Linked DNA regions of Mus musculus: all the other regions are reported to be linked to region 3. Evidence: microRNA targets listed by miRTarBase, many of them from high-throughput screens and not tested one by one. Region 3 holds a microRNA gene; each other region holds the end of a gene's coding sequence.

Evidence for each region. Region 3 holds the annotated microRNA mmu-miR-1954 (ACUGCAGAGUGAGACCCUGUU, at 1,431-1,451, opposite strand). A microRNA usually pairs through its seed, bases 2 to 8, with sites in the 3' UTR of a target mRNA and lowers its output. Matches are read on the target gene's strand: a 7mer-m8 pairs with bases 2 to 8, a 7mer-A1 pairs with bases 2 to 7 and ends in A, and an 8mer does both.
Region 1: the mRNA of Hnf1a is a reported target of mmu-miR-1954. Seed matches in the 3' UTR shown: 7mer-A1 at 1,369-1,375.
Region 2: the mRNA of Itga9 is a reported target of mmu-miR-1954. Seed matches in the 3' UTR shown: 7mer-A1 at 1,944-1,950, 7mer-m8 at 1,088-1,094, 7mer-A1 at 1,043-1,049 and 8mer at 539-546.

Annotation. Positions count from the first base shown.
Region 1 is chr5:114,947,375-114,950,628 of GRCm38, reverse strand. It overlaps Hnf1a (HNF1 homeobox A), which reads left to right. Exons shown (of 10, transcript NM_009327.3): 10 at 444-1,649. The coding sequence ends at 568. 2210016L21Rik (RIKEN cDNA 2210016L21 gene) reads right to left here. Exons shown (of 6, transcript NM_028211.1): 6 at 2,089-2,947. The coding sequence ends at 2,632. Among named protein-coding and RNA genes, the nearest start is that of 2210016L21Rik, 6.8 kb to the right of the region's middle.
Region 2 is chr9:118,897,033-118,900,286 of GRCm38, reverse strand. Itga9 (integrin alpha 9) reads right to left here. Exons shown (of 28, transcript NM_133721.2): 28 at 1-3,053. The coding sequence ends at 2,955. Among named protein-coding and RNA genes, the nearest start is that of Gm51695, 11 kb to the right of the region's middle.
Region 3 is chr2:32,650,539-32,653,792 of GRCm38, reverse strand. It overlaps Mir1954 (microRNA 1954), which reads right to left and starts at 1,464; the gene lies at 1,379-1,464. The region is part of intron 1 of Eng (endoglin); the gene reads right to left.

The sequences.
Region 1 (3,254 bases), not on the chromosome of region 3:
AAATGCTTCTTTGCCCATTGTATGTGGTGCCTGCGGAATGCCAAGCAGTAGTTTGGGATCTGTGTGCACATCCATGCATGCATATATTATGTATGTGAGTGTATAGGTGCTCTACACACACATGCAGAGGCCAGAGGAGGTTGTTTTGTGTTTTTTCCTGTTTGCTTGGGGTTTTGTTTTTGTTTTTTTGAGGCAGGGTTTCTCTGTATAGTTCTGGTGTCCTGGAACTCACTCTGTAGACTAGGCTGGCCTCGAACTCAGAAATCCGCCTGCCTCTGCCTCCCAAGTGCTGGGATCAAAGGCATGTGCCACCACCGCCTGGCTGGTGATTCAGAATGTGAGGCTCTGCTGTCTCTCCCTGGAGCATCACTAAGAGATGGGCAGGTGGGGTAGGGGTCGGAGGGGACTTGGCCAACAGCTAGTAACCTCATTTGCTTCTGCAGTGTCCTCCAGCAGCCTGGTGTTGTATCAGAGTTCCGACTCCAACGGGCACAGCCACCTGCTGCCATCCAACCATAGTGTCATCGAGACTTTTATCTCCACCCAGATGGCCTCCTCTTCCCAGTAACCGTGGTGACTGCCTCCCAGGAGCTGGGTCCCCAGGGCCTGCACTGCCTGCATAGGGGGTGAGGAGGGCCGCAGCCACACTGCCTGGAGGATATCTGAGCCTGCCATGCCACCTGACACAGGCTGCTGGCCTTCCCAGAAGTCTACGCATTCATTGACACTGCTGCTCCTCCATCATCAGGAAGGGATGGCTCTGAGGTGTCTCAGCCTGACAAGCGAGCCTCGAGGAGCTGGAGGACGGCCCAATCTGGGCAGTATTGTGGACCACCATCCCTGCTGTTTAGAATAGGAAATTTAATGCTTGGGACAGGAGTGGGGAAGCTCGTGGTGCCCGCACCCCCCCAGTCAGAGCCTGCAGGCCTTCAAGGATCTGTGCTGAGCTCTGAGGCCCTAGATCAACACAGCTGCCTGCTGCCTCCTGCACCTCCCCAGGCCATTCCACCCTGCACCAGAGACCCACGTGCCTGTTTGAGGATTACCCTCCCCACCACGGGGATTTCCTACCCAGCTGTTCTGCTAGGCTCGGGAGCTGAGGGGAAGCCACTCGGGGCTCTCCTAGGCTTTCCCCTACCAAGCCATCCCTTCTCCCAGCCCCAGGACTGCACTTGCAGGCCATCTGTTCCCTTGGATGTGTCTTCTGATGCCAGCCTGGCAACTTGCATCCACTAGAAAGGCCATTTCAGGGCTCGGGTTGTCATCCCTGTTCCTTAGGACCTGCAACTCATGCCAAGACCACACCATGGACAATCCACTCCTCTGCCTGTAGGCCCCTGACAACTTCCTTCCTGCTATGAGGGAGACCTGCAGAACTCAGAAGTCAAGGCCTGGGCAGTGTCTAGTGGAGAGGGTACCAAGACCAGCAGAGAGAAGCCACCTAAGTGGCCTGGGGGCTAGCAGCCATTCTGAGAAATCCTGGGTCCCGAGCAGCCCAGGGAAACACAGCACACATGACTGTCTCCTCGGGCCTACTGCAGGGAACCTGGCCTTCAGCCAGCTCCTTTGTCATCCTGGACTGTAGCCTACGGCCAACCATAAGTGAGCCTGTATGTTTATTTAACTTTTAGTAAAGTCAGTAAAAAGCACGTGGAAGCTTCCTGACTGTCCATCAGTGGCCAGGAGGGAAGGCAGAGCGAAGCCCCGTACATGTTTACACATCTTTTTGTTTAACTGGAAATGAGGCGACTCTGCCTGAATCTGTGTGTCCTTGTTACTGCAAGAAACCCACCTGGTACTCCAAGTGTGCTACCATTCCCTGGAGTCCTGAAGCTGGGGTGACAGAGGGAGCCACCTGTGGTTTTTATATAAGATGCCCCCTTAACATTCGGCACAGAGGAGGTGGCTCAGTGGCCCAATATCTGCGTGGTAAGTGGGATGCCCCGGTTTGATTCCCCAGCACTGACGGTCGTTGGTGTAACTGCACAGGAGGCAAACCAGGAGACTGGCCAGCTGGAGCTACACAGAGACTCTTCTAGACAATAAGACAAAAATGATCAGCACTGACCAGGGCAGAGCTAGTGTAGGTCTTGGGACACGTGAGAATTTATTTTCCTTTTTCTCTTTCTTAGGGCCTTGTACCCAAGCCTGCATGCAGCCTAGCACTAAGCAGGTGCTCTGGCACCTGACTGTCAGTGACTGACTTACCTGTGGTATTAACAAGTCAACATGTTACAGACAAATGTGGGGAGAGGAGGAGGTGGGGGAGACCTTCCCTTCTTTTCCAGACAATGTTCTTAAGTCTGGGGGAGAGGTACTAAAATTTTTCTGGGGCCTCGGCAGCTTGGAGACCCCTGCCCATCATTCTCTAGGACAACTGTCATGCAAGGCTGCACAGGCTGGGGAGATGGATGCTCTGAGATTCAGTCCAAAAGCTGGGGAACGTTCTGGAACCACAAATCTATTCCAGGCCTCTCCTCATACACCCACTCCATTGCTTGGACTCTTGGCCAAGCCCACCTAAAGTCACCCTGGGCAGTCATTGTGGGAAGCTGGAAACTGGGAGTGTGGCTTGGCTCTGCCCTAACTCCATGGGCACCTGATCCTCAGGGCTGGACCTACAGCTTGGGGTCAGTTCTCAGGCTTCGCCGCTGCACACTCTGCTGGTGGGCACAGGGGAGCCTCTCTGGATTTCTTGGCCTTCTTCTTTTTCTTCTTTTGGATCCCAAGCGACACCGGGTCCCCATTGACAACGCCTGCCTCCTTTACCTGTTCCAGACCTGGGGCTGCAGCCAGGTCAGCATTGTCCACCTTCTTCTTGGCTTTCTTTTTCAACTTCTTCTTCTCCTCTGCCTTGGCAGGGCAGTGTATGGCTGACTCCTGGAGAATGTCTGAAGCCGACACAGCTGCCTCCCGGCACCGCTGCAGTTCCTCATCGCTGTCCTCACTGTCACCATGGCGAGTAGTCAGGTTAGCTGGACGGGTCTCCGAGCTGCCTGGTTGCCTCCGGACCAGATGGAGGCAGCCAAGTAGCTCAGGCTCGAGTCAGCTTCTCTGCTCGTCAGTCACATGGCTGCATTAAGTACCCGAAGCCTCTGACCCTTAGTAGTCTCATCTACAATGAGGGCCCTGACAGTGTCCAAACCTCATAGAGCTTCTTCTCAGGAGACAAGGATGATAAAGGCGGGACTCTGGCCCAAGATGGCTGCTCTTGAAAACCATGGGATTTCCCCCTCCCCCCCCCAGAAGACCCT
Region 2 (3,254 bases), not on the chromosome of region 3:
CCCCTTCTCTAGGTTTATGTTTCCAGGGTAATCAGGTATATATGATCACGTATGTGTCATCCTTAAATAAATGTGAATAACATTTCCACACCCTCCACACTGGGGCTTGACCACACCACAAGGGTCACTGGTCCCCGGGGTGTCCCAACAGCATGCTGTTTATTGAGACTTTCCCTTGCCTTTGGCTTTAGTAGGTCATGTGATATTTGGTGCGTGGGGGTGGGTTGGGTAGGGGGTTGAGTGGTAGAGCACAAGGATAGATGGATGGGGGACTCGGACAGACAACTTCATGCAGCCTGTCAAACCGCTGGGCCCTGAGGTGCTTTCCCAAATCATTGCCTGAGACCACAGTGGCAGGACACAGGGTGTGCGCTAGTCAATCGACCAGCCCCTCTTGCTGGTGTTCTTGTTTGTCTACGTCATAGCCTTTCTGTGGCAGGGTTCACTTTGGGGATGCTCTAGTCTTTCTTGAGCTGGTTAAACCCACAGAAGACACAACTGAAAAACAAGCAGGCTATTGATAGCGCCCTGGAGAACGTCTGCAGAATGAACTCAGAGGCAGAGGAAGGCTACAACAGGCGACACAGTGGGCTTTTAAAAAGAATGTTCTAGAAAGAGCTAACACAGGCACATCAATCCACCTGCCCACTTTTCCTGATCCCTGGAGGGAGACTGGGATGGAGACATTGAACAACTCAGCTGAGAGAATTCCAAGACAATGCTCCACCCCTTTCCCTGCCTCTGTGCCAGGCAGCCACACCCCTAGCTCTCAACATTATCAGATAGGCAAAGAGGCCTCCTCTCCCCTATGGTGCCTTTTAGGATTTGCTTCCTGAGCAACCATATAGTTTCCTTAAAATCTGCCTCCTGAAGTTGTATCGACATCTGAGCATGTGACTAGTCATGGCGGTTCACCATTTGAGATCCAGCTGAGTGGCCAGATTCTAGCTGAGTCTGCCCTTCCTGCCTTCCACACTTTCTCAGGTGCAGCTCTGCTGGCTAGCTGAGTTATGCATCCTTCTCCATTGATGCAGTCATACCCTCTGCAGGAAGTAAGCCAGTGGGGACAAATGCATTTTGAGTATAACTGCAGATGGTTCTGTAGTGGTCTCACCACCTGAGACTCTCAAATGATTTATTAAAGGAAACCATGACACAATTCACGATCATCACAGGACAGCTGCAAATGGGGTTCATGAAGAATCCACACTCTGCACCTATTGTGGGAGGCTTACCACCCTGAGGCACGAGGGGACTGTGTTCTCAGGGGATCCACCAGGATAGTGCCTGACTACAGATCAGGATGTACATGGCTGGTAAAGCCAAGACTTCTTTCTTCTTTCTTTTGATAAAACTTAAAAGAGCTGGGTGTGCACTGTTTTTTTTTTTGGGGGGGCTGCCCCTTCCTTGTAGTGAGTTTGACTTGGTCATGGGTCAGATGTAATGTTTGACTCCTAGGACCAGCTTAGACTCATGGCTTTTTTGGCTACACAAAGCTGAAGGTAGCATTCACTTGTGTGGGGGAGGGGAGCACTAAAGCTCTTGGCTCAGAGTTCTTTGCATGATTTGTGGATCTCCTTACTTGAGGGTGCCCCCCAAAGTTCTCCTCTAGAGGACAGAGTCATCTTGTCAGCAAGACCTAAGGGCAGAAAGTTTATATCCCCTGCAGGCGTGGCATCACAAAAGTCCAGGTTCCTGAGTCTGACTTGCTCATTAGATCCAACTGGTTTGAAGCCACCTCGTGGGTTGTCCCCTGAAAGGACACTGTTGCCTGGCTCCCTGTACTCTCCTGTCTTGTATTCTCAACTTCCTCACTGTTACCTTCTGGGAAGACTTCCTCAATAAATTATTTACACCCAAGTCCTATTTCAGGGTTCGACTCTTGAGAATTCCACCTAAGACATAAACACAAACCATGTGGGGTGATCCTCTCTGGGGAGGTATCTGCAGCACCACCAGTTGGGGACAGCAAGAGTGACAGAGGAAATGGAGAGTCTTGTGTTAACATTATACCACAAGGTAACAGCTTACACACAGAGAAAACAGGCCTTTGCTGAGAGAGCACAGCTTCGGTCCTGGGCTCTGAACTCTGACACATGTTGTTTAGGATGAGATGCTATTCTGAGGTTGACCAGTTGTCCATCCAGCACTTGCTGACTCCAGAAGAGGGTTTAGTGCCTGCTGCATGTATCAGTGTGGTACAGAGCAACTGCTGAGAGGAAACCAAGCTTTCCATCCCAGTTCCTGCTGAGAATCTCCCAGTGAGAGGTCCATAAGAGAAAACACCGATACTTCAAGCTCTCTGAACTTAACTCCGGGTGGTAACAATGGGGAATAAATGTCTTAGGCGGCCTTGCCATGTCCTTTGTGCTTTCCCAGTGCCTCCAGCTTGGTGGATTCATTTCATGAGGTTTCTTCAGTTTGTTTTATCTGCAAGTTTTTTTTTTCTTCCCTAACAACAAGTTCCAAAGTAGAATAAGTTCCTTCTCTTTTAAAATTTGTATGCAGGGACATGTATTTCCAAGATTTCAGTGCTTGAGTGAATTATAGAACTATTTAATAGAAATAATAAAACATTGATACAAATATAAAGACATGATCAATATAAAAGGCTTACATTTATAAAAAATACTTTTAGGTAACAGTTTTCCCCTGAGGGTTGACCACGCAATGTTGCATCCATAAATATTGCTTTGCTCTGTAGCTTGCCTTTCCAAAGTTCTAAGTTCATCTTGCGAAGGGGAGTGGTGGTGGCCCCAGTCATGTGACCTGGCTGGAGGGGTGGCCATCTCAGGTCGGCACCGGGCTTGACGGGATGAGGAAGAGAACAGCATCAGTGGGGCCTCCGAAAAATCTGGAGAAGATTTCTTTCTTCCAAATATGAAAGATACAAAGATCAAGGACCACAGGCTGGTGATGGGGACATGAGGGCATCACATGACTGGCACGGTGGGTCACTGGTTTTTCTGGACCCAGTCCCAACCATCTTCATTCTCTTTCCGGTTTTTCTCAGCTTCAATGATCTCTTTGTACCTTCTGCGGAAGAAGCCCATCTGAAAGACAGAAGACACTCTGCGTTAGGACTGGATCTGTGTGCCAAGGCAGACTGAGCTATGGGGAGGCAGGACCTAGCCCTTCCCAGGGCTGGGGATGCTAGAAGAATGTCTCGGGTCACCACACTGACTTCCTAAAGTCTATCTCCCAGCAAGCCATTCAGTACTCTGGAACAGTGTTACCACAGCACTGGGTGCTGG
Region 3 (3,254 bases):
CCCTGCCTGCCTCTGCCCCTTCTCAGGCCAACGGCTGTCCTCTTAGATGTATTTATTTTAGTGTCATGTGCATAAGTGTGTACCTGCATGTGTGTTTGTGTGCCATGTGCTGGCAGTGCCCCTCAGAGGGCAAAAAGGGGCATCAGGACCACTGGAACTGGAGCTATGGACAGTTGTAAGCTGCCATGTGGGCTCTGGGAACCAAATCTGGGTCCCCTACAAGAATGGCAAGTGCTGGCTACTGCAGAGTCACCTGTCTAGACCCTAGTGACCACATTTTATTGATAGCCTGACCAACTTGTCTCAACTGTCAAAACCACTGTTGGCCGGGTGTGGTGGCGCACGCCTTTAGTCCCAGCACTCGGGAGGCAGAGGCAGGCAGATTTCTAAGTTCCAGGCCAGCCTGGTCTACAGAATGAGTTCCAGGACAGCCAGGGCTACATAAAGAAACTCTGTCTCAAAAAACAAAAAGAAACACAAAAACAAAAATAATCAAACAAAAAAACCCACTGTGGCCTCTTCTTGAAGCAGGTGCCTCCTAGCCTCCTGCTGGTGGTAGCAACGGGGAGACAGCACTCAGCTTCAATCTCAGCACTCGGAAGGCAAAGGCAGATGGATCTCTCTAAATTCAAGGACAGCCTGGTCTATAGGGTGAGTTCAAGGACAACCAGGGCTGCACAGAGAAACCTTATCTCAAAAAAGCCAAAACAAACAAGCAAACAACAAAAACAACAAAACCCAAACCACGACGACCACCACCAAAACAAAAGGGAGAGAAAGAGGAAGGGGAGAGGGGAGAGGTACTTCCTTAGGTCTGTGGGCCCCCCCTCTCCCCGATGTCTTAGAGTCAGGTGGTACTTCACTGCCTTTATCTGTTTTGATGGTTTGGGCAGTTTTGTTTCTCATGTGTGTGTGGGTAAGTGTGTAAGGGTGTATGCGTGCTTGTGCATGTGTGCAATTTACACCCAGGATCCTCAGCACCACCTCCTTGCTGATGGAGATAGTCTTTCACTAGCCTGGGGCTCACTGGGCAGACTGAGCTGAATAGCCAGTGACCCCCAGGGAGCTTCCCAGCTCCTACTCACTAGCATGTGGATTGCTCTGCCCAGCGCCACGCCCGGTTGTTTTTATTAAATTTATTACTATTATTTATTATTATTATTGTCATCATCATCATCAACATTACTGAGTGAGCTCTGGGCACGGAATGCAGGTCCTCAGTGTTTGCATAGCAAATGCTTACTAGATGAACATTCTCCCCATTTATGACAGGGTCTTAGCCAGAGAGCGGTGGTGCACACCTTTGATCCCAGCACTCAGGACACAGAGTCAGGCAGATCTCTGAGTTCAAGGCCAGCCTGGTCTCCAGAGTGAGTTCTAGGATAGCCAGGGCTACACAGAGAAACCCCGTCTCAAACAAACAAACAAACAACAGGGTCTCACTCTGCAGTTCTGGCTGACCTCATTGACCTCTCAGGCAGTCTCACCTGCCATCTCCTTGTCCTGAGTGATGGCTTTAGAGGTGTGTGCCACCACTCCTGGCCTGTGTTCTTGTTGTGTTGTTTCACATGCATTTATTTTTCTCTGTATGAGTCTTTTATATGTATGTATGTATGTATATAGGTATGCATGTGTGTATATACGCATGCATGTATGTATGCATGTATTGTGTGTATGCATGCATGTGTGTATATATGTATATGTGTGCATGCATGTGTATGTATGCATATATGTACCTATTTTTATATGTATGTGTATTATGTACATATGTATGTATGTGTGTATGTATTTGTATGTATGTGCGCCATAACCATGGGAACAAAATCTGGGTCCTCTGAAGGAACAAGTGTTCTTAACCACTGAGCCATCTCCCAACCTCTGGTTTTCTCTTTTTAAGATTCAATTAATGTGTGTGTGTGTATGTGTGTGTGTGTGTGTGTGTGTGTGTGTGTGTGTATGTGTACAGGTGCCTGCACTGGATCCCCTAGTGCTGGAGTTAAAGACAATTGCGAACTATGTGATATGGATTCTGGGAACCCAACTCATGTCCTCCAAATGCTCCCCAGTGCTGGGTTGCTTTGTGAGACGGGATTCCCCACAGCCCAGGCTGCCCTGAAACTGACTATGGATGTGGAACGCATCTAGAATTCTTGATTCTCTTGTCTCAGTCTCCCAAGTGCACCCATACTTGGTTGCAGCTGTTTAGCTTTGTCTAAGAGGGACGGCCATTGCCGGGCTGAGACGGTGGGGGCACGGGGGCAAATCTCAAACCACAGGAAGATGCTTGTCCATCCCCTTAGGTAACTCATGGAAACGGCTGGTCCAAGGTTCAGGGACATGGCTATCCACTCTAATTTGTGTTACTTAGCAATTGCTCTTATCTCCTAGTCTCCTCATCTGCAACAGAGGGGTAACAGCCTAGACTAGTGCCAGTGCTGGTATACAGTAAGCGCCACATAAATGCCAACTGGCATACCCAGCACCCTACTTACACATCCATGTTAAATCCAATTTACTCTGGAATGGGCACCCCACCTCAACTTGCAGAATTGCTGCCCCAACGCCTGGTCTGGAGGAAAAGGTAGAACCCAGAACTGGGCCCCCAGAGTTCTAAATCTCCTGTGCCTAGCCACCAAACGGCCCAGAGAGGAGGCTGGGTTAGAGCAGACAGCCTGGGGTGGAAATCAGGGCCTGTCACTGAGAACTGCCAGACCTGCCTGAAGACCCCAGAGCACACGGAGCAGGCCTGTCCTCCAAGGTCCCAGCACTGGTCCACATGTGACACAGAGCAAGTCCTCTGTCCCTCTGTCTCTCTGGCTGAGGTGAGAGAAAATCTTTTTTTTTTTAACTGTTTAAGATTTATTTTATTATTCGTGTGTATGTGTGCATGCCTGCATGAGCTTATGCGCACTACATGGATGTGTGCATGTGACTGTGGCAGCCAGAGGACATGGGATTCCCTAGAACTGGAGTTACAGGTGGTTTTAATGTGAATAAGTTGAATCTGGGTGTGGAGAGAGAATGTCCCAATAGTGGTCGCAGGAGTGGTCATGTCCTCATAGGTCTCAGGGAGCTACTGTCCTGACTAATGCAGTTCTTTGTTCATCCCTCTTTCCTTCTGGAATGTGACCTCGAAACCATAGATTCAATCTCTGCCCTTTGCCACCAGCTCCTTCTGCACTGAATCCAAGATTCCCAGCCATCGGTAAGGAAGTTTCAGGTCATTCTCCGCCCCAGCCGCAGGCAAATGACAC